Linked DNA regions of Lepisosteus oculatus. The main gene of each other region encodes a partner of the protein of the gene in region 3 in a complex. Links are inferred from orthologs where the notes say so. Each region holds a gene or a part of one and is shown on either strand. Other genes may lie near its edges. The genes, in order: ccnf, rb1, e2f1 and ccna2.

The links.
Region 1: the proteins of e2f1 (region 3) and ccnf are in contact, whole or in part, in a cryo-EM structure (PDB 9CB3), measured with the Homo sapiens proteins. The link is inferred for Lepisosteus oculatus from reciprocal best matches to the Homo sapiens genes E2F1 and CCNF. Residues at the interface, in NP_005216.1 of Homo sapiens: Gly84, Arg85, Pro87, Val88, Lys89, Arg90, Arg91, Leu92, Asp93, Leu94, Glu95, Thr96; in NP_001752.2 of Homo sapiens: Met309, Ile312, Leu313, Asp315, Trp316, Glu319, Val320, Met323, Arg349, Leu352, Gln353, Trp379, Leu380, Thr381, Asp382, Thr384, Asp504, Tyr505, Val508, Leu510, Thr511.
Region 2: the proteins of e2f1 (region 3) and rb1 are in contact, whole or in part, in a crystal structure (PDB 2AZE), measured with the Homo sapiens proteins. The link is inferred for Lepisosteus oculatus from reciprocal best matches to the Homo sapiens genes E2F1 and RB1. Residues at the interface, in NP_005216.1 of Homo sapiens: Ala267, Pro268, Pro269, Glu270, Thr271, Gln272, Leu273, Gln274, Ala275, Val276, Asp277, Ser279, Glu280, Asn281, Phe282; in NP_000312.2 of Homo sapiens: Ser829, Arg830, Ile831, Leu832, Val833, Ser834, Ile835, Phe845, Ile848, Met851, Val852, Asn854, Ser855, Arg857, Val858, Leu859.
Region 4: the proteins of e2f1 (region 3) and ccna2 are in contact, whole or in part, in a crystal structure (PDB 1H24), measured with the Homo sapiens proteins. The link is inferred for Lepisosteus oculatus from reciprocal best matches to the Homo sapiens genes E2F1 and CCNA2. Residues at the interface, in NP_005216.1 of Homo sapiens: Val88, Lys89, Arg90, Arg91, Leu92, Asp93, Leu94, Glu95; in NP_001228.2 of Homo sapiens: Met210, Ile213, Leu214, Trp217, Glu220, Val221, Glu224, Arg250, Gln254, Tyr280, Ile281, Thr282, Asp283, Thr285.

Annotation. Positions count from the first base shown.
Region 1 is NC_090714.1:3,638,125-3,646,095, reverse strand, and holds the start of ccnf (cyclin-F), read left to right. Parts: upstream 1-4,953; 5' UTR 4,954-5,133; coding exon 5,134-5,146; intron 5,147-6,535; coding exon 6,536-6,690; intron 6,691-7,716; coding exon 7,717-7,823; intron 7,824-7,971. UniProt on the Homo sapiens protein: Substrate recognition component of a SCF (SKP1-CUL1-F-box protein) E3 ubiquitin-protein ligase complex which mediates the ubiquitination and subsequent proteasomal degradation of target proteins.
Region 2 is NC_090700.1:17,210,894-17,217,917, forward strand, and holds the start of rb1 (retinoblastoma-associated protein), read left to right. Parts: upstream 1-4,009; 5' UTR 4,010-4,171; coding exon 4,172-4,296; intron 4,297-7,024. Other genes in the region: serine/threonine-protein kinase Nek3, read left to right, coding at 170-298, 1,219-1,336, 2,295-2,355. UniProt on the Homo sapiens protein: Tumor suppressor that is a key regulator of the G1/S transition of the cell cycle. The hypophosphorylated form binds transcription regulators of the E2F family, preventing transcription of E2F-responsive genes.
Region 3 is NC_090711.1:15,208,894-15,216,398, forward strand, and holds the start of e2f1 (transcription factor E2F1), read right to left. Parts: upstream 3,017-7,505; 5' UTR 1,680-3,016; coding exon 1,440-1,679; intron 411-1,439; coding exon 320-410; intron 1-319. Other genes in the region: pxmp4 (peroxisomal membrane protein 4), read right to left, coding at 6,259-6,528. UniProt on the Homo sapiens protein: Transcription activator that binds DNA cooperatively with DP proteins through the E2 recognition site, 5'-TTTC[CG]CGC-3' found in the promoter region of a number of genes whose products are involved in cell cycle regulation or in DNA replication.
Region 4 is NC_090696.1:10,719,379-10,727,215, forward strand, and holds the start of ccna2 (cyclin-A2), read left to right. Parts: upstream 1-4,825; 5' UTR 4,826-5,212; coding exon 5,213-5,422; intron 5,423-6,160; coding exon 6,161-6,407; intron 6,408-6,722; coding exon 6,723-6,835; intron 6,836-7,054; coding exon 7,055-7,278; intron 7,279-7,367; coding exon 7,368-7,572; intron 7,573-7,759; coding exon 7,760-7,837. Other genes in the region: bbs7 (Bardet-Biedl syndrome 7 protein), read left to right, coding at 493-626. UniProt on the Homo sapiens protein: Cyclin which controls both the G1/S and the G2/M transition phases of the cell cycle. Functions through the formation of specific serine/threonine protein kinase holoenzyme complexes with the cyclin-dependent protein kinases CDK1 or CDK2.

The DNA.
Region 1 (7,971 bases), on a different chromosome or scaffold from region 3:
AGTCTATATATGTTCTGTAGTAAACATATACTGTATACATGTGCTGTACTAAACAAGTGTTCTATACCTGTGGTGTGGTAAACACATACAGTATTGTATACACGCTGTGTAGTAAACACATAGGCTGTAGTGAAAACATACCAGTTTGCTCTCCTTCAACATTATACCAGAGCAGATAAGAGCTCCTCTGAATTCATGTTAAGATGAATTATAAAACCATAATTTTCTTCTACATTATTTCTAAATATTGTAAATACTGAGCTACTGTAAACAACAGATCCATTAGGCAGCGTACACGTTCACCCCACATTTAAACTGCTTTTTGAGAAAAAGAAGGACCACTTTTCCCTGCCAACTTTAACAGCCTTCTAATGAATAGGATACAGAATTTATTTGTCCTACATTGCACTGCGACTGTTAATGTGGAGCATTATGTACCTTTTCTGTGACATTTTGTGTGCTTGGCCTGCTATACTTCAGCAGCATAAGTCCCCTCCATTATGCACTAATGGGACGAAAACATTTACCCACGACTGGAGAAAGAGGAAAAAAACAATGGCTTGTGCTTCATAGTCAAAGAATTCTCGATCAGTTGTCAGGCTCTCTAAATACAACCTGTCAGACACTTCCTACAATGTGCAAGTCATTGCTCACCCACAAAAAAGCTCTCTCGAAGTCTTGACAATTTTCTGAATACTGAAGCACTGTCTCACTGTGAAAAACAGACGTGATGTCAGAAGTGCTCATTACTCATGAGAAGTATGCATGTGTCTGATAAAAAATGAAGTACGAAGTAGATCCATGATTTAGATGTGGCCTCCCAGTCTCTGAAACCCCAAGGGTAAGTTTCAAGTCCTGATTCTGCTAAGTTTGCTCCTGCAGATATCCGGACTTTCTGAGGGAAGATCTCCAAAATTAATGAAGATTCATTAATCATCATTAATTTTACAGATGCAAAATGTACAAGATGTCAAAAGTACTACTTATTATACATTATTTTTAGATATTTAAAATAATGAGCTGCTGCTTTAAATGATAGATCTGTTAGGTACTCCACTTTGTTCTCCACAATGTATAAATAATGTTATTATATTCCATGTAATAATCTATCAGGATTAATTTATTCATGAATGAGGTTACAGAAGATTGCTAGCAGGGTTGCACACATTTGAAAATGATTTCGTTTAGTTTTTTTAGAGTAGTTTGCGTTCACACGCTTTTGTAATGATCTTTTGTGAACAAAAGGTGATGCTATTGGTGATCTTCACATACTGTATACATTTGTAGATTGTAAACTTACGCCACAGTTTCCATATGCCTTAATGGCAGTAGAATCAGGGAGTGAAGATTTGAGAGACATTTTACGACATGTGCTTCATAACTGGTGATCGGCTCTCTGCATCACTTCGAGAGCCTTGTGCAGCTTTTTCACTCATGGTCATTTAGTGTGTGATTTCAGTTTTCAGTGGACAGAGAATTCTTCTTTCTATTTTTAAGCTAACAATGCTGTTCCCTAGTGTGAGAAAAGACGGCAAGCTTTTCCAGGGGGGACTGGGCTGTGTTGGAATGCTGTATTATAAGGGAATGGTTTGGGAAAAGACATGGCACACACACACACTATCCCCTGTTTAAAAAGATGGGCAATTAAGAGGTTACATGTAAATCCATCCTTTTACAAAACCAGTCACATTTAACCCTGGTTCTGAAGAGCTGAGGAGTCCAAAAGTTTACTTATTACTGATTATTACTGCTTTCATTGCACATCACCACTCAATTACTCAGTTAGTTAGGGTTTAGGCAAACAGACTACAGATAACACCAGACTCAGCAGGACTGGAGACCTCTGATCTAAACAGACTGAGGAGCTTCCAGAGTAGCAGGCTGTACAGGTGTGTTTGTCACAGGAGACACATTTCTTTTACGATGATGCTTCATCGTTACACCTCAAGTTACTGCAGGGCAGTATGAGAAAAAGAGAAGAATGTGCAAAAGGTTTAATGATAGAAAATCACCTGTTGTCAGTATATTTTGGACAGGTGTCCTTCTTCAACTGTGTAGACAGAAATGATGAAAACTATATTCTGCGCAGTGATGTGATGATATCAGAATACAATACTTCAAGATATTCCAAGACTCCCCCCAAAATATCGTACACAGTTTTCCTAAAATCGCAGTTGTGATGTCAGCAGACCACTTAGCGTGGAGAGTGTATTGTTGAATTACTGGGAGTATAGGTAACCATTGCCATAGGATTTCTTCTGTCCCCTGAATAACTTTTGAAACAAGATGATTAAATGCACTAGGACCTTTCAGGCATAAAGAAATACATTTTAAAGATTGAGTTAGTGGGAAGGTATAGACGTGCACGTGAAACGCAGTGGGCTCAGAAAGTGAAATGGAGTCTCTGAGTTCTGGTGTGCCCTTCAGGCAGTGACTGGAGTGTCCTGTCCTTGGCTTGGAGTGGAGTGCCAGCACGGGGAAGGACTTCACCGAATTCTGGTCTGCTAGAGTTTCCACCGACCGTCACCCAGGCAGGCAGTTCGGACTGACTGTCACCCAGGCAGCTGGACTGTGTGGGATGATAAAGGTCTATTGGAAAAAGGCTGCAGGGCTCCAGACACAAAAACCCTGCCAGCTCTTTATCTTTTCCAATTTTCTGTTCCTGGGGATTTGATCTATGCTCGCAAATAATAAAAATACGCGTTTGGCATTTTTGTCAATTTTGTTGCTTTTGTTATGTCATTTTAACTCCTTTTTTGGATTTTTAGAATATTATTTTATTAAATTGTTTTGCGATATTATGTATATATATTAAATTGTTTATATGCATGCATGCATGCAGGGAAGAATACAAAACCAACAGAAAAAAATACATTTTGCTAAGGACAATAAAATCACTAATCATTTTAAAAAGACGTTGTTTTCAGCATTTCTGGTGATTGTATTATAAAGAATATCACACTTTTTTGCATAGGTTCTCTATGTGTGTAACAGAGTTCCAGACATCATCTCTTTCTTCCTTACCCAGTCTCCACAAATTCTTAAGGTAATAATTTTCTTTCAGAATGTTACTTCCTTTACTCCACATAAACGCACTTTGACTACAATTCGGCTCTGGGGATGTTTGTCTAAAGTTGTGTGCACTCTTACTGGTTGATACGTTGATATCCCATCAACCCATTTCCTTATCATCTCTCATTACTATGGCCAGTGGCTCCCAGCATTAAACAGAGGCGTTCCAGGGCCAACAGACACTTACACGCACAAACTCCCACCAGGGCCAGCTTTCCCAGCAGGTCTTTGGGCTGTGGGAGGAAATCGGAGCACCTGGAGGAAACCCACACAAACCTGGGGAGAACATGCAAACTCCACACAGACAGCGCCCCAGGCCCGGAACTGAACCCAGGGCTCCGAAGCAGCGACTTTGACCCTAAGCATCAGTCCCAAACCCACATACAAAAGCCACAACACCCTTTTATTGCATGGTCCTCGAGATATTCATCACAGCTCTGGGACAGTAGTGCAATTACAAATGATTAATGTAATTAATAATCTCCTCCCAGAATCAGAAGTGAATCACAGTGTTTAGGGACGTTGGCAGAAGGTTGCAAAAGATCCAGAATCACTTTGGAAATCTCTTCCATAATCCTGACTTTTGTCCTGGAAAACCTGCGCACGTTTCCCTCAACCATACTGTACATTTAATGGCTAGTCTGACACACGGGAGTTTTCCACACATGTCCAACCCTGACCCTTCACGCCAATGTCTTTGATCCAGACAGCATTTCACCATCTGTTTAAAATAATAGGAGAAAGGTAAATGCACATTAGTGTATTTTATATACTGGGTGCGTAAGCACGGGTGTTATTTCTGCAGTATCTGTCGCTCTTCACATCTGTGTTTTGCTGGAATATCTCGGCAAAATAAGGAACTGAAATCCCAACAGAATCACACTTTAGTTTCAATCGGATGCACACGTTACAGATGGAATTAGAGGAAATGGATCACACGCGGTCTGTCCTGAAGCTGTTTCCGTACCCAAAGGGGTTAGAACACTTTCAGGTGGGAGGGGCGTCTTGACTTCTGAGTAAAAAAGATTTAAAAAGCGTTTTGTGTTCTGTGGTGAGGTTTTTAAACGCACTTCGAAGTGTCTGAGTTAATTGCCAATTGGACAACTGCTGTTACGATTTTGATTTAAAGCATTTGATCGTCGCATTGAGCAGCGCAGTGAGACGTGGCCGGTTGCCTTATTGACAAGACCTTTGTGTACTTAGTAGCAACGTCCATTATATTGTAACGCAACCCCGAAGCCTTACAATATTTTATTTTGGCTAAATCAGTGTTTCGTACCGTACCTTGTTGGTGCACAATTTCAATAAAATGTTATGTCTAGGGAAACGTTCGAACAACAATCCGTGATGTGGTTTATGATGCGTTTAAAACGCAAACTTTACGATGGTATTTTTGTCGCTATGAGCATGCAATCAATCATTTCTACCGTGGATCTAGGACGTGAAATAACTATATGCTAATAAGCTAAATTCTTTCACACGACCGAGCTTCGCCAGGCTCGGAGCTGGAGAACCGCGCCCATTGAGGTATACCCAAGTCTCCGACGTCCCTTTAAATTGAGTAGATTTAAACTCCGAATCATACACTTCACTACAAATCCCAGAGTTTAACACTCCGGGGCAGGACGCGCAAAACTTCCCTCTTTCCATCCAATGACGTGCCTGCGACTTAGAAGCGCGTAATTCGAAATCGCGTTGCCCTGGCCAATCACCAGCTCTTTTCTTAGCCCTCCCGTGAAGGCAGCCAATGGCTGGAGCGGGGTCGATTCTCCGCCAATCACGATGGCCTTACGAGCGGAGTGGGCGGATCGACGGCCCGTCCAATGAAATGACGAAGTTGATGTTTAAACTGGGCGCGCGGGCGGAGCGTCAGGAAGTCCGGGGGCGGGGACTCGCGGTGGAGCTGGTTGGGTTTGAAATCTTAAACTTATTGGTAATCTCCCCAGTTTTAAATTAAACCCACTTTTAAGTTTCCTATCGCAAAGAGGCGCAGTAAAGACGTTTTAATCTTACATATTTATATGTACATAGTATTTAATTTTTCATTTAGCAACGCTTAAAATGAAAGCAGGCGGTGAGTATGATTGCATTTTGCTGCGGTTTTGCAACTGTTTCAATTTGAAATGTATTTAAAATTCAGAACTGTGACCTAAAAAGTGCGGCGATGTTGCATTTAAAATTGCACTGCTCTTGATTCCGTAACGTTAACGTTTCGTTTTTTTATACGATTTAATAGTTTCGGGAGATATATATATATAACGCCACTGCATTCTTTAAAATATCAAGCATACGTAAAATAGAACTTTTGTAAAATGTATTTTATAAAAAAAATGAACGAAACTTCAGAATACTGTGAACTACTGTAAAGAAATAGTTTCTGTTGCCTGCATGTTTCGTTCAGATCTCTCATTTGCCTCTCGATTTTAACTCTGAAAATCTGGGGACAGTATTAACTATGGGGGGCACTTTATGCACGGCAACGTGTCCTGTAGTCCTGTATCTAAGTAGTCCTCAGCCACAGGTCGATCTGTGCTAATATACATTACATACCGTAAGTCTAACAGCTCGATTAAAGGCGTTTACCAGCTTGCATTGTTGTAAAAGTAAACGGAGGAGTCAGGCTGGGTGCTGATTTTCTGCAAATAATAAGGCAGTGTTGCTCATTCCGACCCTGGCAGGACAAAGTATACATTTTGATTCAGGAGTGGGCCAGGAAAGGCGCCGGGGTTATCTTAGCCCGGTTACTGACAAGGAAGTACCAAGGTGGTCGAGAAGGAGGGAAAGGTTTAGTGCTCAGTGGGGCCGGGGGACCGTGAGCGTCCGACGCGTATTTGCGTGGACTCTGTCCCGGTGGTCTCCCCACTCACGTCCCAGAGGCGCCGGGGGCGTGTGAGGCTTATCCCGCCGGCTTTCGGATGCATTAGCATCTCAGAAACGCGCAACGTTTCGGCTGTGGAGCCTTCTTCGGGTGTGCTGAGGGTGCTCGACTCCCGAAGAAGGCTCCACAGCCGAAACGTTGTGTTTATTTCCTTCTCTTTCCAGCGCGTAGTAACCCTTTACTTTGTTGCTCCGCAGCCTGCGCCCGCTGACCGTTCAGTTAATTGTCCTATGCACACGTGCGATGAAATGCTCATTTGCAGGTGTGCTCCAAAACAACAGCCATCTAGGAGACGCCTGAAATATCAACGCGGAACAGGAGCCGCAACAGTGCGTTAATGTAACTCGCCCCTCCCCAGACACCGCTCCCTAATCTATTAGCGGGTGGGAGGAATGTCACGCGTATACACGAAGCACCGTGCAAACGGGTGGGACAAGGCTGGGTTTTAATGAGTTTACATCCAAAGGCCCCGTCCTGTCCACACGCGGCGGCTGACGGGTTGCCCTGCGCCTGAAGCCCGTGCTGTTGTGGATGGGGCTGTGTTACCGCGGCTCTTACCCCGTGCATGTTGTCTCTATCCCCCAGTGCTCCACTGCCGCTGCCCCAAGTGCTACTCGGCGCCGGTGCGGATGCGGGTGCGCAAGCGGGCGCCCGCGCTGACGCTCCTCGGCCTGCCCCGCGAGGTGCTGCTCTGCGTGCTCAAGCACCTGCCCGCCCAGGACCTGCCCTCCGCGAGAGCCGTGAGTCTGACCCCCACCACCCCTCACCCCTCCGATCCACCAATAATTATAATTGCTGACACTTAGATAGCGCTTTTCTGGACACTCCACTCAAAGCGCTTTACAGGTAATGGGGACTCCCCTCCACCACCACCAATGTGCAGCCCCACCTGGATGATGCGACAGCAGCCATAGTGCCCCAGTACACTCCCCACACACCAGCTCTCAGTGGGGAGGAGAGCAGAGTGATGAAGCCAATTCATAGATGGATGTTCTTGCACACAATGGCTCTAGTGCAAGAACGGTGTGGTGTACAGTTTCCCATGGGATGGGGACAGGGTACGGGGGGGATACTGATGAAACCATCTCTAGTTGGCCGGTTCTTTGCTCGGCTTGGCAAATGCCTGGTTTTCCCCAAGACAAGCCAGGTTAGCCTCCCAGGTATCCGAATGGAAATGGGAAAGGACTCCTGTCCCGTGTCTACAACCAAATGGAAAGCCGTTTTGTTACTGTTAATGGCTGATGGCTTTTTTTTCCCTCCAGTACTGAATAATGAGATCAATAGCCAGACAATTTAGAGGGCTCTTGTGCTGATGAGTAGTAGCTGTAATCGAACTTGTCCCTTGTAGAGAAGTTCAGTCACCATTGTGGTGACAGATACCGTGCTACACGCGCAGCTCAGCTGTGTTTTAGATGATGCTGTCAGGCCTCCTGAATCTTACCTCTTGCTCGTACTGGGGGATCCCAGGCGAATCACTCTTTCTCGTGTGAAATCTGTAAGCTCAGATCTGAAACCGCCAAGGGGCATTGGAACGTTTGGTTTAGGGACAAATGTCTTGTGATTCGCGAACAGCAGGCTTGTCGCAGGGGCGTAGCCTTAAGGTGAGGAGTTAAGTTTATTTGGGGCGTTTTAATCTAATCTAATGTACAGTGCATCTGAGGACAAGAGTCATTGGCATTCATTCTTGAAGGAGACAGATCTCCGTCATTGCACAGCATCCCGATGGATGGGCCGGAGTAAAAGCCTGTTTCTGGTTGTCCTTCCAGGTCCACCCCCTGCTCCGCGATCTCATTGACAGCTACACCAGCGTGTGGGCCAGGGTCAGTTTCAAAGATTCCTGGCCGACGCCTGACAATCTCTGGCTCTTTGAGAGGTAAAGGCTGAGATCCACATCCGTAGTTTTCAGGTTTGACCTCTCCGTTTCAGTACCTTGTTTTTACTATAGCATGTCACTATAAATGTTTATAGGTGGTCATTTTGCTTTGTGCGTGGTTGTTTCTAGGCTTTCTGGTCAGGGTTTA
Region 2 (7,024 bases), on a different chromosome or scaffold from region 3:
ATATTTGAGAAACATGGACAGAATATGTTGTATGAGTGAGCAGTGTGTTAACAGGAGAACTGTTGGTCGTTTAACTTCTCTTTTCCTCAGAATGGTAAGAATCTGGAATGGTAATGTTCAGCACTCTTTGTCTACAGTGTCATGACTGTGGTGTGTGTCTGAATCTCAGGAGGTCTTGAGTATCCCCGTTCCCGCCCTCGAATGCAGTGGGTGAAGAAACCACCAGAGCGACTGCTCAGTCTGCTGGAGAAGGCTCATCTCAGTGAGGCATTCAAGACGTACACTGTGTGCAGGCCAGGTGAGACAGAGAGATGTGCAGAATGGGCTTGCAGCAGGCGAGTAAGGTGGGCGCGGAGAGGTGCAGAGGAAGGTGTGTCGATTTCAGTCCCAGAAGAGGAGTGCAGACTCACTGAGCTTTCTGTTTGATTTGTACTTAATAATTAAAGATGTGTGATGTAAACATTTTGGACTCCAGTACTCAGAAACAGTGACCCCCACCAAAGAAAATATACCAGAAGATAAACCAGTTGTATTGTAAAAGAAAAAAATACTTACAAATACAGGGTCAGATTTTGTTGTGTTGAACATGTTTTGTGGTTGGGACTGTTTAAACACATAATATGAATCTATAAGATATTTTGGTAGAAGTGCAACACAATAAGTAATTGAGATTTAGGCTTATAAAATATTGTATTTAATTCTAATAAATAAAATAAACAAGTAAATCACAACAAGGTCAGTCACTAGGGTCAGTCACAGATTCTTGAATCCCTCATTGTCGTCCGGATACCTAGTCACTGGTCTTCTTGCTATTCTTACAAATTATGCTTTCTGAAATAGAGGAAAGAAAACAGGCATAGTGCTATTCTTGGTTATTGTTGGGGCTTCCTTGCTAGCAGGAAGAATACTTTGTGTTTACTCCATTAATTCCCCAATTTTTAACAGTTTTCTATATTTACATTTTCTGCATAACATTTTACTCCTCCCCAATCTGGAACTGTCAGTTGTGTCTCTACACTTGTCTCGGCCCACAGTGACATCTTTTGCTTTTAAAATCCAGTTGGTTTTTCGGTGAGGACCACGGAAATGGTAATTTAATGAGCTGCTAGAAAGTAAATATGTTGGGTGTGCTGATTGACCTCTCTTTCCTCATGTGTAACCTTTTGTTCTTATAAATCAACGAGGCGGTTTTTTCTTTCTTATTTTTTTGTACCCCAGCCAAATTTAACCCTCTGGTAGGGCCCCTGACACGGGGAGGTTGTGATGACACAGATGGGGACATAGAAGATAGTGTGGATTCCTACCGACTGGAGCCACGCTCTGATGATGAGGACACGTGAGTCTCTATACAGTCCCTGTCACTCATAACGGCACACACTCCCTCCATTGGCTGGCTAGTACTTGGATGGGAGATTGGAAGTAATAAGAAACTGCCTTAACATGGTATGGCAACTGAGAACCTTGAAGAATAAGCTTTTTGAGGTTCTTAAACCTCAGTCTTGAACTTGTGCTATGTGGTAATAGGTTATTCTATTAATCCACAGGAAATCCCCATTTTTAGAACACCCCTGCTTTCTGCTTTCTTGACTAAAACACCATAGTGCTGGCAACTTCCACAGTACTTCCTTGTGCTGCTTATGTTCTCATAGTGCAAAAGAGTTAGGTTTGCACTTGAGGATTTGTGTACATGGTCTAAAGAATGATGAACAAATCTGAAAGAAGATCATTTCCTCTTCTCAACTCAGGTTGAATTGTCGACAGTCCAAATGTTTTGCTTCATACTTGCAGGTTGAATTTTGTAGAAAATGTCCAGGGTGTCTTACTGCTTCAATATCCTTTGATATAGTTTGATTTTTACCATCCTGTGGAAAGGGTATCCTTTGAGGTCTCTGTGAACTTAAGTTGGGGCTCAGATGATTGTTTCACTGTGAAATATCCCTAGGGTATTCTGTTTTAATTTTGGGCAGATGTGTCAATTATAGATCATTCAGACAGTTTTCATTATATTTATAATGCCTGGATAAAGTCTATTTTTCATTCATTCTGCTTTAGCTTTCTTCATGCTTTCCTCCTTCATACTCTACATGTATATTACAACACAGGAAAAAATACTAGCAAGTGACATTATGTCCATCCTGTTTCTTTTATTGGCTGTAGGTCATGACAGCTATTGTTAATATTACTTTTAAGGCCCTGCATTAGTTGCCAAGGCCACAAACAACCTTTTCTGTGAATTTGTGTGTTTGTAACATTTTAACATATAACTGACTTACAGAAGCTCTTGTCATTTTCAGGGATTTTGAAGAGGAAACATTCTCCGACTGGGTGACAGAACTAGAGAAGATTTCCAAGTAAAACAAATGTGACACAGCCATTGCAAACTCTCCTACATTGAATAAAATATTAACTATTTTTCAAAATACCATGGTGTTAACATCAGGTTAACCTGCTTGTTAATGATCTAATTAAAGAAACAGATAATACAAATGTATTTAAATATAATATTTTCATTATGTAAATAAATAATACTGGTGTTATTATTTTGAATGAACAAACCAACAGAATTGGATATCACTGTGTATGAGCCTCATTTTCTTCCCCTGTTTTCCCTGAACTGCCAGCAACTGCAATATGATATAAACTGGCAAAATTTGATTATTTTTAAATAAGATTTATGATCACAATGTGCCAAAGTGCGTTTCATTTGTCTTTTCAAAATCCAGCTTTAGGTTTGAATTTTATTTCAAACTTTGCTACCACATCAGTTTTTGAATTGATTTTCAATAAATACTGAAAATGTTGTTGGTCTCTATGTAATTATTTGCAACTGATGTTCTTCCTCCAGTTGTCATTGAGATTTTGTTTTGGAATTTCTCATTTCTTCTCTTTTGCTTTTATTTTTTGCATTATCAAAGATATGCTTGTTTATGAGAGACAGATTATGTTATGTGTTCTTCTGTGATTTGTGTGGTGCCTTGTCAGCTTTGTGAGATGTGTCTTTTCTTCCTCTTTGTCAAAAACGTTTATACCAGGTGAGAGACTGTGAAAATTCAAGCACCCAGGTTACAGGTCACAATCTCAATCTTACTATCAGAAGACCCCTTTCATAACTGTCCTGAGGCCCAGTGTTTTCTTCAAAGTAGCAAGAAATGAATATTTCTTGAAAGAATGTAAACAATGAAAACCAAGCACCAGCATCTGTCTAGCATAACAGGTTACAAATATTATGAAATGTAAGAAACAGAACAGGTCAAGAATAACCAAACCTACAAATGTGAAAAAACTGGGGTTGATGTAGTCTTTTAATAATTTTCATTACACTTTAACTGGTATATAGTTTTACATAAGGAATTTAAAATAATTTAAAATGCTTTGCAGTATCATTCTGTGTGCAATATACATAACAGAAACGTTTTCCAAATATATCAGGAACCACTGAAGAATTAGATTTATTCTGGGTAAATTCTGATTAAAATTAATGTTTTATATTAATTTATATTGTTTACATATAAACATTATCCAAAGTATAACATTTACACAAATCCACAAAATATATATTTACTGCTTGGATACAGAGAACAATATCATATGTTTTGAAATAATTATTTCATTTATATGACCGTGCAGTACAACGGCAGAAAAATAAATATCATGTGTTAAAGATTTTGCGGGTACCTGTTTTCAAAACTTCCAAGTGTACTTCACGACTCTCATGTGCCATAATTTAAAAGGGGGAGGACCGTGCTAGATTTCAAACAATTCCACGGCTTTTTCAACAAAATAACATGTCTCGTCCGGAGCACTACAGAGTTTTTTTTTTACACTTTGGTTTATGTTTACATGTAAACAATACCAATTTATTATGTAAACAAATAAGTTTAACTTTTTCTTTCATTCTTACGACTGTTACAAAATGAGTTACAAGTTTCTTTCTCTGGCCAGTGGCTAAATGTCACAGGAAGTGACGGAGCAGGGAGGGAGGATATTTCGCAGTTTTCCCGCGGTTTAAGTGCCCTCTGAATCAGTTGAAACCAGAAGTACTTCTTGTCAAACGTGTAGGGGGGGGGATTTAATACTAACAAACAAAAAAGTATCCAAAGACAAAGACGCCGATTCCAGGAGTGGTTCTCCGCTATTACACTTGCACTCGGATCTTGTTAAAGCCATTGACATGCCTCCAAAGAGACGCAGCGCAGCTCCGAGCGCTCAGCTTTCTAAGGCTGCGGAGGATAAACACACCAACCGCGTCGGTGTCCCCGGGACGCCGGGTAGGATCCCCCAGCTCTCTCTTGAAAGGTAACAGCAGATGCCAAGAAATCGAAAATCTCTCTTGTTTCACGAGGAAGAGCTGGGTTTACTTGACCAGCTGTCATGCTGCGTGTAAACCTTTTGAGAGTGTGTAATGTAGGACCCGTTATGTTTGCCTTTGAGCCGCGCAGAGATTTAAGTCTCATGAATGAGGCTGACACTTGGGTTTTTCTGTTCTACTACTCATCTTCCGTATGCAAGAGGTGCAGGTACTACGCGATGTTTTTATTTCGTAGATTTCTTTCCCCTTTAGCCGGTGAAAAAGATTCCGTTTTTGTTTCCTGTGTTTGTCAAATAGGTTCCAGTCCTCATCAATTATACATTTTCGTCTTTGCTCCGGCCAAACAGACGTTCTTTACGTGTATATGCTTATGATAGATGGAGTTTAAAGTTTAGAAAGATATTCAGTCCCAGTTTGTGTTTAGTATGTAGGTGGATATCATGGCTGAAATATAACTAAAGTACGATAGCGTAAACTTAGTTTGTGCAGAGCGTTAGATCAGCAAAATGCACATTTAAACCTCAATATGAAGTCTCTAGTGTTTATAATGATATTTTAACCCAGCGCTTCATAGTCCTTTCCATGTTAAGATATGCCTCTTGTAAGATTTGTAAGTTAGATCACTTTTAGTGAGAATGGAGCTTCCTTGTGACCCACTGAAGTTTCTTAAAGATCAGAGAGGCTTCAATTACTTATTCTAGAAATCTATTTATAGATTTAAATACTACAATATTGTTAAAAAGCTGTCACCCACACCCCTTTGTGTTAGGTTCCTCCTGTTCTCAATTTTAAATCTACTGACCGTTTGTATTCTCTGATTAATGTTTTATTGTTGATTCTAAAAAAAAAGTCCAGTAGGTTGTCTTTGTCAGTGCCTATTGAGGACTGTCTTAATTCGATACTAAAGCAATGGTCTTGATGCCAGTCAGATGTGAAAATACAACCCACTAGGATATTGCTATCAGGATCATTGTGATTGCACTGCATCAGCAGTTTAGGAAGCTTATTCTGGCTTTGCATGTTTACACATTTCTTTTTGCTCTGTTCTATATTCTGTCTCTATTAATTAACTAACTAAATGTGTGGTCTTTATCAGTTTATAGGGAATGTACTTGTAGGACATTAGCATCAATGTCAAAGTTTCTCTGGACTTCATGAATAAACTATCACTTTAGTCTAATTCTTACAGTGTGAGGATATTAAAAAATCTTGGACACTTTAGCACTTAACCACCTGTGTAGAATAATGTAATGACTTGATAATCTGCCTTATATGTGTACATCAATCGAGCAATATTTATTGTGTTAATTACAGCTTAAATAAGAACACATGGCACAAATTAATATTCCACTCCATAATAATAAAATAGTAAATAGGCAAATCTGCTTCATTGCTAAATACTACAAGACGTTTCCGTTATCTGTTGAGGCTTAAATACTGCCATCAAACCAAATTATTTAACACTGAGAGGAAATATTGCTTTACAGCTTCACATAAGACTAATAAACAACTGAAGGGGAAGTGTTCAGATCAGGAATTTAAAACTGTCATAGTATGCAAGCTGCCCCTGTACAAAACAAGAAGACTGAGAAGCAAGCACGGAAAAAAAATCATTAAGTTGAAAGGACTCTGCATGGAGCTCTGTTTATAACTATTCTTAATACACCTTTAATGATGCATCATTTCACGCCACCATACAATAAAACTTTTGAAAGAGACAGGTAACCATAAGTTAATACAACTAAAAGCTAGAATGTAAAAGTGAGTGGTCTGATGTGGACTGGGCGATCATTCCGCAGATGACGACAAAAAGTATTTTCTCTGAGCACCAGAAGGAAAAGCATAGATTAGATAAGATTTAATTGACCCATGCAGGAAAAAAAGGGAGAAGAAAAACAGCACATTTGACTATTACAAAAAATAAGAAAAACATTGCTCATTATACTATTAAAAAAAAAGCAAAACATTCCGCATCATTCTATTGCACAGTATAACACATAACAACATGTAACATTTATAACACATCACAAAAACATATTGCACTCAAGTGGGTGGTAAGAGTCAAAATTGTGTTTATCCGTGACATTTGCATTGACAGTATTAATGGATAGTGGAACAAAGGAATGTTTGTATTGGTTTGACATGCTGCTGAACTTTGGAGCAAACACTCTCAACATGAGTGACCCGCACAGGTAACGGTCTATGTGTACACCTAAGTATTAATATGAGTCAACCTGAGTGATAAGTTTGTTGTGGATTACTACCTGTAAGTGATCAACTGTTCTGGGATCAAAAACTATTTCTTTTTAGATCTAGATCTCCAATTGTTCTGAACATCAGCCTCTCACTTGGTACTGAAACAAGGCCCGTGTCCAAAAGGGGCAACCGATGTGTGTTTTCAAAGGATTAACGGTTCACAGGTGTAGTTAGGAGCCCAAGCTTTCGTCCCCTTTAAGGTGATGAGGAGCGTTTAGAACTTATCCATTTCGGATATGTTCGGGGAGGTTAAAACAGATAATTAATTCACATGCATTTTACTTTTGGTTAAAGTTGACTAACTGTAGTGAGGAGCATATTTTATGTACACTGAATCAGTGGATTTATCCTCCATCACACTTTTTTAGTAAGACTGTTGGTCTTGAAGGTAATTGAAGCAGTTTTGTGGTCAGACAAAATTCTCCTTGTGTAAAACTGTTACATAGGTTGGGATGCTTA
Region 3 (7,505 bases):
CTGTGGGAGCAAACTGGAGCACCTGGAAGAAACCCACGGGAACATGAGGAGAACATACGAACTCCACACAGACAGCACCCCAAGGACTGAACACCGGCCCTCAGTGCTGCAATGTTAACCACTGTACCACCCATTCTATGCATTTATATTAATCTCAAGCTCAGACATACAGATACTTTGTATTCTCTATTTTATTTAATCTGGTGAATCAGCTGGCTTTCCTATACCCTCCTTCTGAAGGGTGTTGTAACTGAATTCGATCTCCTCACATGCTGGGGGATTTCGAAAGTACTTTTTCAGGGAAGTGGTTGGCTCATACCTCTCTCCGGCACACGAGGCCTGGTTCGGGGTGGATGGCGGATCTCGGACACGTACTGGTGGTCATTGTCCAAGTCCAGCTTTCTCTTCACCTGCGCCGGAATTGGGAGAGACAAGTCAGTGGCGGGTACATGACTTGAAACCGGGGAAGCACACTGAGGGTATCTAGACCCAGAGGAAAAAGCGACCTGGAGCGGCCTGACAAAATTGTAACAGAGTTGTACCCCCCCCTCCGCCCAACCCACCAGCTGCCTAGCTCTACCTTCAACACAACCCCTCATCTCAGCTGTTCAGTCACTCAAGTTTTCTGCATGGGTCTGGAAACACAGAGCAGGGCACCGTCAACTTCATACTTTCATGGCACTTGCTGAAAAAGCACAGCACGTTAAATACTGGAGAGCACAAAACTGACACAGGATGATCTGATCATGTGCATAACATTAATGTTTAAAGAATCGCACGTCCCTAAAGGCAATTCATCTTTCTGGTGTCAATTTTCTTAACTATAAAACAAACTTCGCATTAACTGATTTCTCACACAGCGCCAGCATCACGGTTCTACATTTGCTGTGCGAACTGTAGCCTTTTCCTCATGCAGATTCCCTTGGCCACATGGACAGAAAAGTCCTGACCAACCTGCAGCTCGCCCACCACACCAACAAACTACCAGTTTAAACTACTGTCGTGGAAGAATGACAGGCCACCACCAATCCTCACTGTGCCTCATCAGTACCCTTATAACTGCTGTTATTATATCCTCAGAAAAACCATCAAAACACAAAACAGGGCATTATTGCACCACTCCACGAGCGACAACCACAAAAATCAATGACCAGTTTTACGCTTCCTGACAATCCTCAGTAACAAACATGCCTGGCAATATGTTTTTTTTTTTACCCCCAGTCTAGTAAAAACGCCATTGGCACAATGATGACCTGTTGATTTTCATGAGCGTTATATTTTTGAATGAACTGTGAGTCTTCAATAAAAGATTCAACAGCCACTTCCCACGACTAGACCATATGCCCATATATATCGGACTTTATCCATCTGCGCAACAGATGAGCAGCCTCTTGCATTTACAAGTTGTATTTCTGTCCGGGGGACAGAGAGGCCCTTACCGGAGGGCGTCCCAGGACCGGCCGGCGCTGCTCGTCCTCCGGGGCAGGTCCCTGCGGGGTGGCGAACAGCAGGATCTCCGCCGCGCCGCTGGAGCCTGCGGGCTGGATCTCCACATGCGCCGGCGTGGAGATAATGACAATCTGATCCTCATTCAGCTCAATACTTCCCGATCCCAAAATGGACTCAAAGTCAGCCAGAAGGTCCTCCGAAGTCTGACCTGTGACCACTGTCTCGGACATGGCCTTCCGCGGGTCGGCTGCCCGTTTCCCCCCCTTCTTTGCCCGGCTCGGATTGTGGCAGTAATTGAGATACTTTAGTGGCAAAGCTTCATGTCTCCGCGTGGAACAATGGTAAAAACAGGAGTACAACCGGAGCCATTATCTTAAGAGTAATGTTAATTTTCGCGAAGTAAACCTGCCTCACTGTACCTACAGGGTGTATATCCTAATAACACATAAAAGCCAATTGCTGAACCCTGGCATTCGGCTACGTGTAATTACAGTCTGTGGGTGCGCAAGTGAAACATGTTTGGTATAGCTCAGGACCTGTAATTGCAACGCACAACAAAGACTCAAGAGAGCTCGACTGCTAACTACAGGCCCCTAGTCTGCCTCAAACCAGCCTGACAGAAAGCGGTCGAAACAATAAGTCAGTATAAAATGCGAAAGGCCACAAGTTTAACTTTAAAAAGCCAGACTTTTCCCATATCATCAATTTCGTTTTGAATCATACACTCGCCTCTGAGTGCGAACAGGATTTTTACATTTTAGATTCCCTACATTTTACATCAGTCCAGTAACGCAATCATTGTATAATCAACTATACATTTTCTTATCGCATGCATCTATGCATCTTAATGCGAACTGTTAAGGTCCCTTAAAAAACACACATTCTCAACTAAGTTCTTCACTAAGCCTCTGTAAAAACCCCGTGCAACCGCACGATCTTTCTTTCGGTTTTCAAGTTCTCCGGAGCACCCTGCCCTTTGTCCCAGCTCCGTCTGCGCCTTACGATCACAAATCGATTCGATATCAATACAGTCCATTCGTGTCTGCGAAATGCACAAAAATAATACTGTCCATCTTAATGATCTCTAGAGCATGAATGCTTTGATTCCATATATTCTAAAAATATTTGGTGCTTCTTCATTTAAATTCCATTTTCAAGTTTAGCGCAGCGCATTTTGTCTTTCAGCAGACATAAATCTGAAATCAAAAGGTGTATCAAGAACATCCCGAGGGCCTTGTCCATTCAGTTATATGCTCTCGTTCTGCGGCCGTTTCTTTCCATTGATCTAGGCGAAAATAAAAGCACACCCCTGTTTTTGAGCTAGTATTCAGGAAGCAGAAAACAGCGTAATCCTTCATACGCGTAAAAGCAGATGTTTTCCAACAACCCAAAATGCCAAACAACGAAAAATTCCCCAGCATAAATTCAGAAAAAAATAGTCCTTAAGAAGTGAATGTATGGTACTTTCCGCAACAGAACCCCCGTCGCCCCATCTACAACTTGTTCTTGTTATTGTTATTGTTGTCCCAGCTGATCAGACAAGAGCTGGGGATTTGCGCGCCAAATCTTTTTTGCCGCGAAACTTGCACGTGTGCTAACCCCGCCTCCGGATTGGTGGAGCTCTAGGAGCTCTGCACTGACGGGGCGGCACCTACCCTTTTTTTGGCTCCACCCACACACCCCCCGCGAAGGGCAGCTGTGCTGGAGAGCAGGAAGGTGATGGGTCTGTGTGCGGGTCTTCACTCACTGAGGTCGAGCACAAAGGAAATTCTTGCAGAAATCACAGGAGTTTAATGTCACTCGTGTGAGATTATAATCACCCCCTCTGAAAAACGTGGCCTTCCGAAAATCGCAGCAATCCGAAACAGAATTATTTAACGTGCTGCGTGTAGACTCCTAAACTGTGAACGATGCAGGTTTTCTTTCCAGTACGGAATTTGCCGAAACGTAAAAATGTGATATTTTGAACAAGCTTGTGACTAAATCACAAAACGTTCCGATTCCTTAAACATTTACTGGACAGACCCACAACATGCCAAGGAACAACTGCCAAGCCAAGATATTGAAGCCAGAACTCCCATGAACCTCAGGAAGATGCTGGCTGGGTCTTCTGAGACTGATCAGCCACTGCAACCTAAACAAGTACCTAAGGGTTGAAAGTTTGCTCATTTATAAGATAAGGCTACTTTATTGGCCATAAACAATTTCTTATATTACAAATTTGTCTTTTTTCAAATACCACAACTTGCTCTCCATGAGACACAGAGACAGGGAGAGAAGCTAGGGGTCAGAACCACAGGATTCGAACCCACAACCTTCCAGCCGCAAGCACACAGAGCCACCACACCACCCCTGCGGAGCCCCTGCACTGTTCATCAGTCCTGCATACTACTGGCAGCACAGATAAGGGGCCCAGCCCTGCATGTCTTTACAGACTAGAGCATGAACGTGTCTGCTTCAGATTAGACACTATTGCTAGAGAGAACCAAGCAATTCACTTTCTTTTTTGCCAACAATAAGCTTACATAGAATTTGAAAGTAAATAGGAGAACACACAAATGACAACATTACTTTATATCTGTACACTAGGGATCCTATTATTTTCAACAGCCAACAAAGAGAACAAATGCACTGTAGGGCTTTAAAAAATTTATTCTGAGCAGTTTATGTTATTTACATATACTAAGCAAAATTCAATATACATGGCATGCATTCAGTGATGAGTCAACACTTAGAAAGTGCCTTTTATATACAACATTAAAAGGAAATCACTGTCACTTTGTTTCAGTATTATATTTGATGTTCACTCAGATTCTGTAACTTGGATAAAAGCTTTGACTTTAAACAGCGATGATCAGCACGGTTACTCTTAACATGATCTCAGTTTGCTTCTCATTAAGGATTGGATCCTTAATTTAAAAATAAACAGGTTTAAAAAAAGACTGCTGTCACAGATTGCAAAACATACTCAAGAGTCATAGATCAAGAGACACAGAACCAGTCCAGTTCACCTGAAGCTACAATTCCTTACAGTACTCAGGACAGAATAAGGAATAGGCAGACCTGGGCTGAAAAAGAGAAACTTATTTAAAAATATTGGATATTGTGCGTTTCAATGTTCAGTGGTAATACTCTGCAAAAGCAATGTTTTAGCTCACTCAGACAAGCTTTAAAGTCAGGGGTCTCCTAACACTGTCCTGTAGATTCACCAGTTATTTTGGGGGGCTGTCCTTCCTTCTGAAATGTTGAATAACTTAAGTGATTAAACAACAAATTAGCACAAGGCAGCGTGTTTTCTGGGTTTTAACCAAGCCAGCCCTTTCATGCCCACACTACAACAGAAAAAAAAAAATTCTACAGTACAATTGAGAAGCAAATCATTTCAAAGCTCAGAAACCCCAAATTCCAAAACGACTGTTGTGAATCTGAGTTTGCAATGTAGATATAAAAAATCACTTCTATTGTTGTTACCCACATGAAAGAGAAGATGGAATGGTTTATTATTCTATTATAATAAAGTATAACTATTGATATAAATAATAGTATTCTATTAATAAAAAAACTGTTCAGTGAAGCTTCATATGTAGTGCATTTGAGAACTTGATCCAATTTAAAAAAACTGATAACCTATATTTACCATCCTGCCTTATCATGCCATGGGAGTTTTGTTCTTATGTTAAGATATAGTCCTATTATTTTTATGCCCAATATGATTAAAGACAATTATTTCATTTAAGAACTATCATGACAGAATAAAGTTACTACTGTTGATTAAAACTTCAAAGAATTACAATTGAAGAATCAAAATCATGATTCTGTCATGCATCAAAACTAATAGCATAAAATGTGAAAACAGAAAAAATATTAACCATTCTATACCATAGGCTTAACGTGTCACAGTGATTTAAGAAAAAAACTTAACTGTTTACAAGGTTTTAGTAATTCTGTAAGTGCAAAACTAAGGAACAAAGTGTACACTGTACACTTTTACTGTATTACACAGAACTTGCAAACAAATAACTATTAAGAAAGTAAACTGTAAACAGTATTTTTAAAAATACACAGCCAAATTAAACTACAAGGACCTTTTCTCGATGAGTGACTGGAAACCTTATGGAAAACAGCACGTACATTACAGTACTATCTGCTGGTCTCAGGGTTAATATACAGTATACGTAGAAATTGATAAACACCTAGGACAAGAAAAAACTGAAGGATGTTTTGGCATATCTTGAAAATAAGCTGACATTCCATTATTCAATCATAATGTTAGAAAATATTCATGCACATTACACAGCTGCTCTGGAAAGGCAGCCCTCTTCAGAGATCATCAGGAAACAGCTGCGATTTCACTCTGAAGTTAGTCAAATATAAAATCTAAGAAGTGCTGGAGGCCAGTTTTGCTTTCCCACCTCTAAGGGAATGGAAATGTCTTCTTTGAGAATGTATTGAAAAGAGGTGAGGTCCAAACCACCTCCCCCCACCCCAAGAAAATTCCAATTCTAATGATATTAAATAATTCTAAAGAGATGGGGTTTAATGATGGAAGACCAAATTGACATCCATTTTTCCAGACTCCTCTGAAATGTACAGCTGGGTCATAAAGGTCTTGCTAACCCACTCACAATACACATTTAGTAAATAGACTTTCAGCTATGCAAAACAAGCCCAAGACCAAAGGGGAAACAGTAGTACGAACATTCTTCTAAAAAGGCTGGATTTTCCTGAACTTTCATCTTAACTGATCTGAACTGCCTGCAAGAGAACCCGACAAGCCCGTCCCAGATAAGGGTCCAAGCTGCTGGAAGGTTAGTTCTGAGCCCCAGCCCGGGGCTTGTTGTACAGGAGGAAGTCAGAGATGTCATGCCAGGTGTTGCTGTCGTGGTAGAGGTAGTTCATTGAGGACTGGAGTGAAGGCTGGAGAGTATGGGGGTAGTACTCGAAGAGCCACAGCACGATGCCCCACACCAGGGTTGCGAACAGAGGGAAAGGATCTCTCTTCGGCTGGGGGATGTAGCCCTTCTCTACAGCCAAGCGAGACAGAGCAAACAGGATCCGGGACAAAAGGTACATGTTTATCTGTGGAGAATGAAAGCAATGTACCATATTGCACAGCTCACAATCTGACAGCCTTCAAATAGTAATGCATTCTTCCTTGTAGTGTTCAATTTTCAAATATAGTTCTTGCACCGTCCCCCTTTTAATAATAATTCCTTACAATTCATATAGAGCTTTTCTGCATACTCCACTCAAAGCGCTTTACAGATAATTTGCGACTCCCCTCCACCACCACCAATGTGCAGTCCCACCTGGATTATGTGTCGGCAGCCACAGTGCACCACAACGCTCACCACACACCAGCTATCAATGGGAAGGAGAACAAAGTAATAAAGCCAGTTCATAGATGGGGATTATTACGAGGCCTTGATTTATAAATGCCAATGGGAAATTTGGCCAGAACACCGGGTTTACACCCCTACTCTTTTCGAGAAACACCCTGGGATTTTTAAAGACCACAGAGCAACCTTAGCTTTCCAAGGAGGTCTCCCATTCAGGTACTGGATAGGATCACACCTGCTCAGCTTCAGTGGGTCACCAGTTGTAAATTGCATGGTGATATAGCTGCTGGGAAGTTCTTAAAATGAGTTTAAAAACTCATTTCCACATTGCCCATTTTCCTCTTAACTGGATTTACAATCATGTACAGTTGTGCACGTTTATAAAAGCATTCCTTCTCACTGGCCATTTTAATGCCTGCTCCAAACTTGGTTGTATACAGAAAGCAGGAAAACTTGCAGATCATTAGACTGTACAATAACAACTAAACATTTTTTTTCCCTCAACCTCTTATATTTCAAGTGTGGGGTCAATCTTTTTTCTAAATTTTAAACTTCAAGTATCTTGTTGTGTTCTATATCTAACCGTGGTTAAAACCTGGGTTTCAGGCTACGACTCATGAGCTCACATTGAGAGAAGGGGGATCCACAGATGTGCTTTCCACAGATGTCATGCCTGTCTTTCAGAACAGTCCCATCTTATGACACGCTGCAAGGCTG
Region 4 (7,837 bases), on a different chromosome or scaffold from region 3:
AGCAAGGCCCTTAACCCCAGCTGCTCCAGGTGGCTGTATAAATGGCTGACCCTGCGCTCTGACCCCAAGCTTCTCTCTCCCCGTCTGTGCCTGTGTGTCTCATGGAGAGCAAGCTGGGGTATGCAGAAAGACAAATTCCTAATACAAGAGATTGTATATGGCTAGTAAAGTGATCTTATCTCTTATCTCAATGCTTAAAATGCAACAGAAAAGACAAGTATCTAATTATCCAAAAGGAAAATGTATTTTCTACTTATCGTGGAAATAATTCTTTAGGGTAGTTATTGGATGTTATGTTATGTTCTCTACCATGCTTTTTAATTTCAGCAGTTGTTTTCATGTTATAATCTTGACTGACATGTTATAATATGTTTAATTTTAAAAATGTATTAAAAAACATACTAGTGTCACTGCAGGAATAAAGAAAATCTAACTTTTTCTACAGTTCCGTATACAGTATTACATTTAAATGTTAATGGGTTTTTTTTGCAGGTATGATTACGGATCTCTTCATTGACAAATTCAAATTTAAAGGACAGAATGTCAAGACTAAAGTACCATTGCTGCTTGAAATCTTGGACAACTATGAACTGAATTCTTTAGTGGAATTTTTTGATTCAGCATAATACTGAGATGTAAACAAATCATTGAAGTTTCATCCAGTGTGGTATGTTTTTCCTAAGAAGCTACAGTAACATTTTTTAAATTTTGTGTTGTATTTTTAAGAAATGTTATTTGGAAATACAAGGGAAGTTATTGTTTCAGTTTTCAAAATATCATAATTTTCCCTGATACTTTCATACATTTTAACTCTGTAAAATTGATGTATTTATAAATGATATGTACAATAGTTGAAATGTAGTAATATGCATAGAAATTATATGGAGTGGTGTTCTTAGCAAGTACGGAGTTGGTGTTGCAATGAACAGTTCATACAAATATTTCTTCTGACTTATCATTCACATCTATTCCAAATACTTGAGCTGTATAGTGAATATAAGAATTTGATTTTCTAAATATATGTTAATGTTAATATTTTTCTATGTTAAATAATTCCAGATTAATTTATGTATACAGTTACCTTACTCTCATTGGGGCATATAACATTTGTGAAATAATCTTAAATAAACTTAATTATAAATGTTTAATTGTCAGTTTGAGTTATTCTATTAAATGAACAGTCCTGCTCAGGATAAATTAAGTACCTTTCAATGAAGAGCTGCAAACTATATGTCTGTCACTCAATAGTCTTGTGAATACACAGAAATGTTGTGATATGCTGAAGATTTAAGTGATTTTTCAAGATGAAATGTAGGTTATAATCAGGTGGGATGCTCTTGGTGATCAGGGGGGCATTTTAATATTGGATCTGCTGAATTAACACCTGGTGCAGAGCAACCCAGGGAAATTAATGAAAGTGCTTTCCTGCATTGAATTGTCTGCCTCCCAGGCTTTACAGGAGGAATAATTCAATCTTGATTGCAGCACAAAAGTGATTTGCAGGTACTTTAATGGTTTGGTGATGTAAATGCAAGGATATTTTAAATGTAGGCAATCTGTGATAGTGAAGAACCAGTGTCAAATAATTACTCCATAGGGATCATACAGACTTTTTCAGGAATACTATGTTAAGAAGAAGTAGCATTAAAATTGGCTATTTGATGTTCATTAGGTACAACTTCCATTAACACCATTAAAGATACATTATGTGCGTGAGTGATGTGTTTGTTTTTTTTGCAAGAAAAATATTATCTGTACTGTATCTGTAGCATAGGATCTTTGTGAATGTGTTGATTTAATGCATAGCTTTAAATTAACTACTAGTAGTATATATGTAAACTTGAAGAAGGCTCCTGAAGAAGGCTCCACGGCCGAAACGTTGTGTTCTCTTTCTTCTTTTTTTCAGCATGGAATAAACCTATTACTTGTTCCTTATGTGTAAACTACTATGTTTATATGTAAACATACTGTATACTATGGTAAACTAGACATAACATTTAATGTTTTTTTTAAGCCCAAGGATATTGTTTGTATTCACATACTAACCCTGGCTGCCAGCAATTAGTATATCAAAATAAATCATACAAACACCTGTTTTTTTCAAAGGTTCTTCTTCTGTTCCTGTTGTTAGGATGTTAAAAATTGCTTTCCAAGGAACGTTTTAATACATTTATTAAAAACTCCATGTAGTATTCCACATTTCCAAAGGTGTATTAATTCCTCCATTTTCGAACCACTTTATCCGATACAACCTTGCGAGGGTTCCAGAGCCTACCCTGGCAAGCAGCAGGCTCAAGGCAGAAAACACCCTGGACAGCATTGCAAGACACACAGAGACACACACGCGCTCGCACCTAGACTAGTTTCTTTAGAAGCTAATTAACCTATTAGTATGTCTTTGAACTATGGGAGGAAACCCCTGCAAACACATTTAAACTCCAAACAAAAAAACACCCCAGGAATTGCCCCCAGGGACCCAGCGCTGTGAGGTAGCAATGCTAACCACTGTACAGCCATGTTGTCCATGTGTATCAATACACAAGGGTTCAATTAATAAAACCTAAAATGTAAGAACCTAATTTTGAGGTGGCAAAAAAGCATCCGTATTATTTGTAACCACAAATTCATATCAGATTACTCTGAAATCCTAAATAATAATAAGTCTTACATCCCCTAAAACATCCTTAAGGGGATAAAATCACTTCTTCAGATCTAACTAAACACCCCAGGTTAACATCAGAAGTTAAGGTACTTATGTGCTAAGTTGAGTAGCTTTTTTGTACTTTTGTGGCTGATCTTGGAATTAATGTGATCAGTTAACTGGAACAATAGCATCTTAATTTGCTAATCCATCTTGGTGACTCCAATCAACAAGTCTACATTGCAGACAAATTAAGGCAATAATTAAGAGGTTACAGAGCCAAATCGTTTCACAGTTCTGGTTTGCAGTAATCAGAAAATGTGCCCTGGCTGTATTTAACATTTCAACTAATCCATCTTATATTTAAAATTTGAATTTGTATCATGGAAAATTCTGAAATTAAAACAGTTTAGGATTTAAAGTGGAACAGTGTATACCAATTATTGCTGTTATTACTACAGTTTATGTTTAGTTTTGTGGAAAGTGACTTTTAAAAATGATCCATTACTGTTCAAACTTGCAATTGAGGTAAATTGCAGCACATTGATTTTGTGTTACTTTACATAGCAACTAGGAGTAAGTAAAGATTTAACTCCACACTAAGAAGCAGAAAGAAGACATCGTTTCGGCTGTTGATCCTTGTTCGGGTGTATAAAGCACAGGAGGACAAAGGACTGGGAAGGTGAGAAAGAGTGCAAACGAAGGGAGGTCTGGGGGAGAGGTGTGAAAACCTGAAATCTGTAAATGAATGGAGAAATTCTAAAAAGACGAGGTTTGAGGAGAATCTTGGCTTCTCGTGTTTTTCTGTAGTAGGAGTCCCGAGGCCCCTGTAAAAAGAACTGTCAGTGAAATGAGAAACTATTGTGCTGGAGAGATCTTTGAGCCTCACTGCTCTGAACGGTATTTATAATACTTGTGTTTGTTGTAGAAAATATGTAATCAGGCCAGAAAAGAGGAACTTGATACATTCAGGGACGTAAAGGAATGACATACACTGACAGGCTGAAGGACCTTGAACAAAGAAGACCATGGGGGGACCTCACATAAAGATTTAAAATCCCCAAAGACATTGACAGGCCAACATCTTCAGCATGAACCAGAGGACACACCAGGAAACTATGTGGAATTGTATTTAAAACTGAGAACAGGGGACACTTCTATACCCAGGGGGTGGTGGGTGTGTGGAACAAGCTACCCAGCAATGTTGTTGAAGTTGTTTTCTTCTGATGTTCTTGGATCAATTAAGTACCAAACAGGCTAGATTGGCTAATGGCCTCTTCTCATTTCCACGCTTTTAAAAAAATTCTCCTGTACAAAGTAACTATACACACTTCATGGAAAATAACTGATGCCAAACCCTAAGTGAATCCTTCATTTTCCAACCTTTCTTTTTTTATTTTTGGAGTTATGATACAATTACATTTCATTTACATATAACAGAGATACATAAACACAAAATAAAATATAGCCTTTTTGTCCTTTTGAATAGTACAATATTGGACATTCTCAGTTTGCACATATCCACATTCAAAATGAATGGTAAACTGGACTTTCAAAAACCTTGGACTAATGCTGCACGTTGTAGACAACGTGGCCAGTTCCTAATGAAGTTTATATTTCAATATCATTAAAAAAATGTTTATTTCGGTACATTATAATACTTATGCATCGTAGGAAACTACTAATTATATAAAACTAACAGGAAATTCATCCTATTTTTTAATATTTGAAAAGGAAAATAACGTGCATTTAATGAAGTAGCATTTTTTTACTACTGTGTGTTGTATGAATATATACAATTGATGTCTATAACATTCTAGCTAAAACCTGGGGCTGTACCGTAATGGCCTAAAATGTGCTAAGTGAATCAATCAGTCAAAAAAAGATTACTTCGGCAAAATGTGAATTAATCACATCGTCAATCCAAATATTTAACATAACCTCAAGTGAAAAAAAATATATTGTTTGTTCAGATTACCCAAACACTTGAAACGATCTGTTATGACAGTAGATTTATAGTTGTTGTAATCAAAGTATAATACCGGTCGCTGACTCAATCATATTTGAAGGCTTTTGTCCCGGTTCTTGTGAGACTGAGCCCCAGACAGGAATTTTGGATGTCTGCGCCACCGTAGGTTTGGTGACGTAAAAGGTGAGGCCCGCTCGGATTGGGTGATTTCAATAGTCGCGGGCTACTTGAACAGAGAAAGCAGCAGTCCAGTAACTGCAGGAACTGGGGTTGGTGAGGAGTTGCAAGTTAATCTCTGGTTATTCGGATCGCTAAAAAACTGCAGCTCGAAAATACAAGAGACCCAGCATGGACAGCTGAAAGTGATACGTCTGGGGAGGCGGTGATCGGTTGTTTTTTTAAGTTTGTTTTTTTTTAATTCTAGACTTTGGGAGGGGTATTGGAGGACCTCTTCGTAGTAGAAGACTCTAACCCTGATGTTACAATTTATGTTTTTTCTGGTTGCTTGCTAGTTCATAACGTCACAATTGTTAACCCGGAACTACGGCGGTTGTTTTATTTTAAATTTTAGAACTTTATTTTAGCGTACTAGCTGAGCAACAATGTTTGGTATCAGTCGCGATCACGCTGCGAGTGACTTGCAGAAAAATCAAGACCGGGAAAACATGCTTCTTAAACAAAGGGCTGCTGCAAAACACCGGCTTGAAGATCAAGAAAATATAAACCCAAAAGCTACAAGCAGAAGTGTTTTGGGAGCTTTGCAGAACAACCAGAGAAGCGCAAGACCCCAGCTACAACAAGGAACAAAACAGGTTGGTCGAAGCTCTTTTAAATTAATAAACGATTAAATTATGCGATTTAAATCTAATCGGTGGTGATAATATACATTAGATAAACTTAATCTGAGGTTTTCGGTGTTTCATTGCGGTTTGCAGTCTATCGGTGTTGGTGCTCGTCTGCAATTTCTCCTTTAGTGTGGTTAACTTCTGAGATTATAGAAAGCCGTTCCGTTTTTAAAACGCACAGTGGTCAAAACACTTGATGTAGTCAAGGATCTAGATTAATCATAATTTATTACCTTAGCGCCACAGAGGCAAACAACTGTTTAAATGGCCATTTGGTGTTTCCCAGTGAACAGTCCGCCATTTTCAAGACGGCAGGTTACTGCTGTAACGAGCTCTACACATTGCAGAGACGGGATAAAATTGTGGGATCACTTGTTTTGAAGTGTACTAGTCAAGTTTTCGCTGACGTTTCCGAAGATTCTGGTTTCCCTTTTCCACGAGAAACTAATCGCGCGTCCGTTTTCAAAAAATGCATGCAAGCCATTTCTCAAGTTTAACTTAAAAGGCCGTGGTTTACGTTTCTGCATTAATCTGGATTTTTTTTTTGCATTAACCTGGAATTGCCAACGTTATAGGAACTTGGACTGTAATTCAGTGACCCGCCATTTTAGATGATTATAGAAGCTCTACCTGGCCAATATGGAAATGTATGTAAACGTCCACTAATACTTACTGACGCAAGATGTTATTGTTTTTTGTTCTCAGGGCCATTCGTGTCAAGTGCTGTCCTGCACAAATTCTGAGAACCATGGCCGGGATCCTTCAGAGAAGATGGGTGCAAAGCAGCCCGGTTTCACAATTCACGTGGATGAGCCTGATGGTGCTTGTACCAAGAAGCAAGTGGCCTCCAAAGCTAAAGTCCTCATGGAGAAGCCTCTGTTTACAATTAACCCCATCGCGGGGAACAGACAGCCCCTTTCCGTTATTGAGTGCCCTCTGGATGCCAGTTTTGGTAGGTGTTTCCTGAAACAAGAATGGCTTAGCTTTAAGGAGGTAGCTCCTTGGAGACTGACTTGCAATCAATGGGAAGATTTATAGTTTTAAACCAAAAGAAAACTTACCTCACTTAGCTAACAGTGCTTTTTACTCTTTAACCCTTATGTAACCAAGCCTAGGCTTTTGTAACAAGTGCAGTATACCCTACCACTGTAAAGAAAGAAAGCAACTTCTCATAATTCTAACTAATTTAGAAGTTGGTATCCATTTTAAATCATAATGGCATAACCCCATTGTACTAATTCTGGGCTGTACTTGCTATTTTTTCCAGATTCGCCAGTGGCTATGGACATGTCAGTATGTGATGCTGAGGAAAAACCAAGGGATGCAAATGAAGTGCCAGACTATGCTGTAGAGATCCACAAATACTTAAGGGAAATGGAGGTAAGAATGGATTTTTTTTTCCACAGGCAAACTTGACACTTATATTAGTTTGATTTGAATGCTTGTTGTGGGGCTTCAACTTCCAAATGAAGGTAGAATCCCTTTCCACTGAGGGGAGTATGACCTCCAGCTGATCCAAAACCTCTAAGATGGCTATGTACAGGGGGATTCCAAAACCCAAATGTTTTAACTCTTCATTTTAATTGTTCTCTTCCTCAGATAAAGTCCAGGCCCAAAGCTGGCTACATGAAGAAACAGCCAGACATTACGAACAGCATGCGAGCCATCCTTGTGGACTGGCTGGTGGAGGTGGGAGAGGAGTACAAGCTGCAGAACGAGACGCTCTATTTGGCTGCGAACTATATTGACCGCTTCCTGTCCGCGATGTCGGTCCTGCGGGGGAAACTGCAGCTGGTCGGGACGGCAGCTATGCTGTTGGCTTCGTAAGTCTCACTCTACCACCTGAAACCCCCTTTTCAGTTGATCCTCTTCCCCTTGTATGAGACCTGACTTGGTTCCCCATTGTGTTCAGGAAATTCGAAGAGATCTACCCCCCAGAAGTCACGGAGTTCGTCTACATCACGGATGACACTTACACTAAGAAGCAAGTGTTGAGGATGGAGCATCTTATTTTGAAAGTGCTGTCTTTTGATCTTGCTGCTCCTACAATCAACCAGTTTCTCACCCAGTACTTCCTTCATCAGCCAGTGAACCAGAAAGTTGAGAGCTTGTCAATGGTGAGTTGATGCCAACGATGTTTATTTTTATTGAAATCCCTGGTATTTCACTTACAGGTTTTTAGTTTCCAGAACATACATCACAGACCTTTTGTAGGTCTTCCTCTTTATTTGTTTTGCACTTCTATAGAAGTGCAGAGATGTACAGAATGCATTCATGTCTTCATACCTTGTTAATTTTTTGCAGTTCCTGGGGGAGTTGAGTTTAGTTGATTCGGACCCGTTCCTGAAATATCTCCCGTCGGTTACAGCTGCCGCCGCCTTC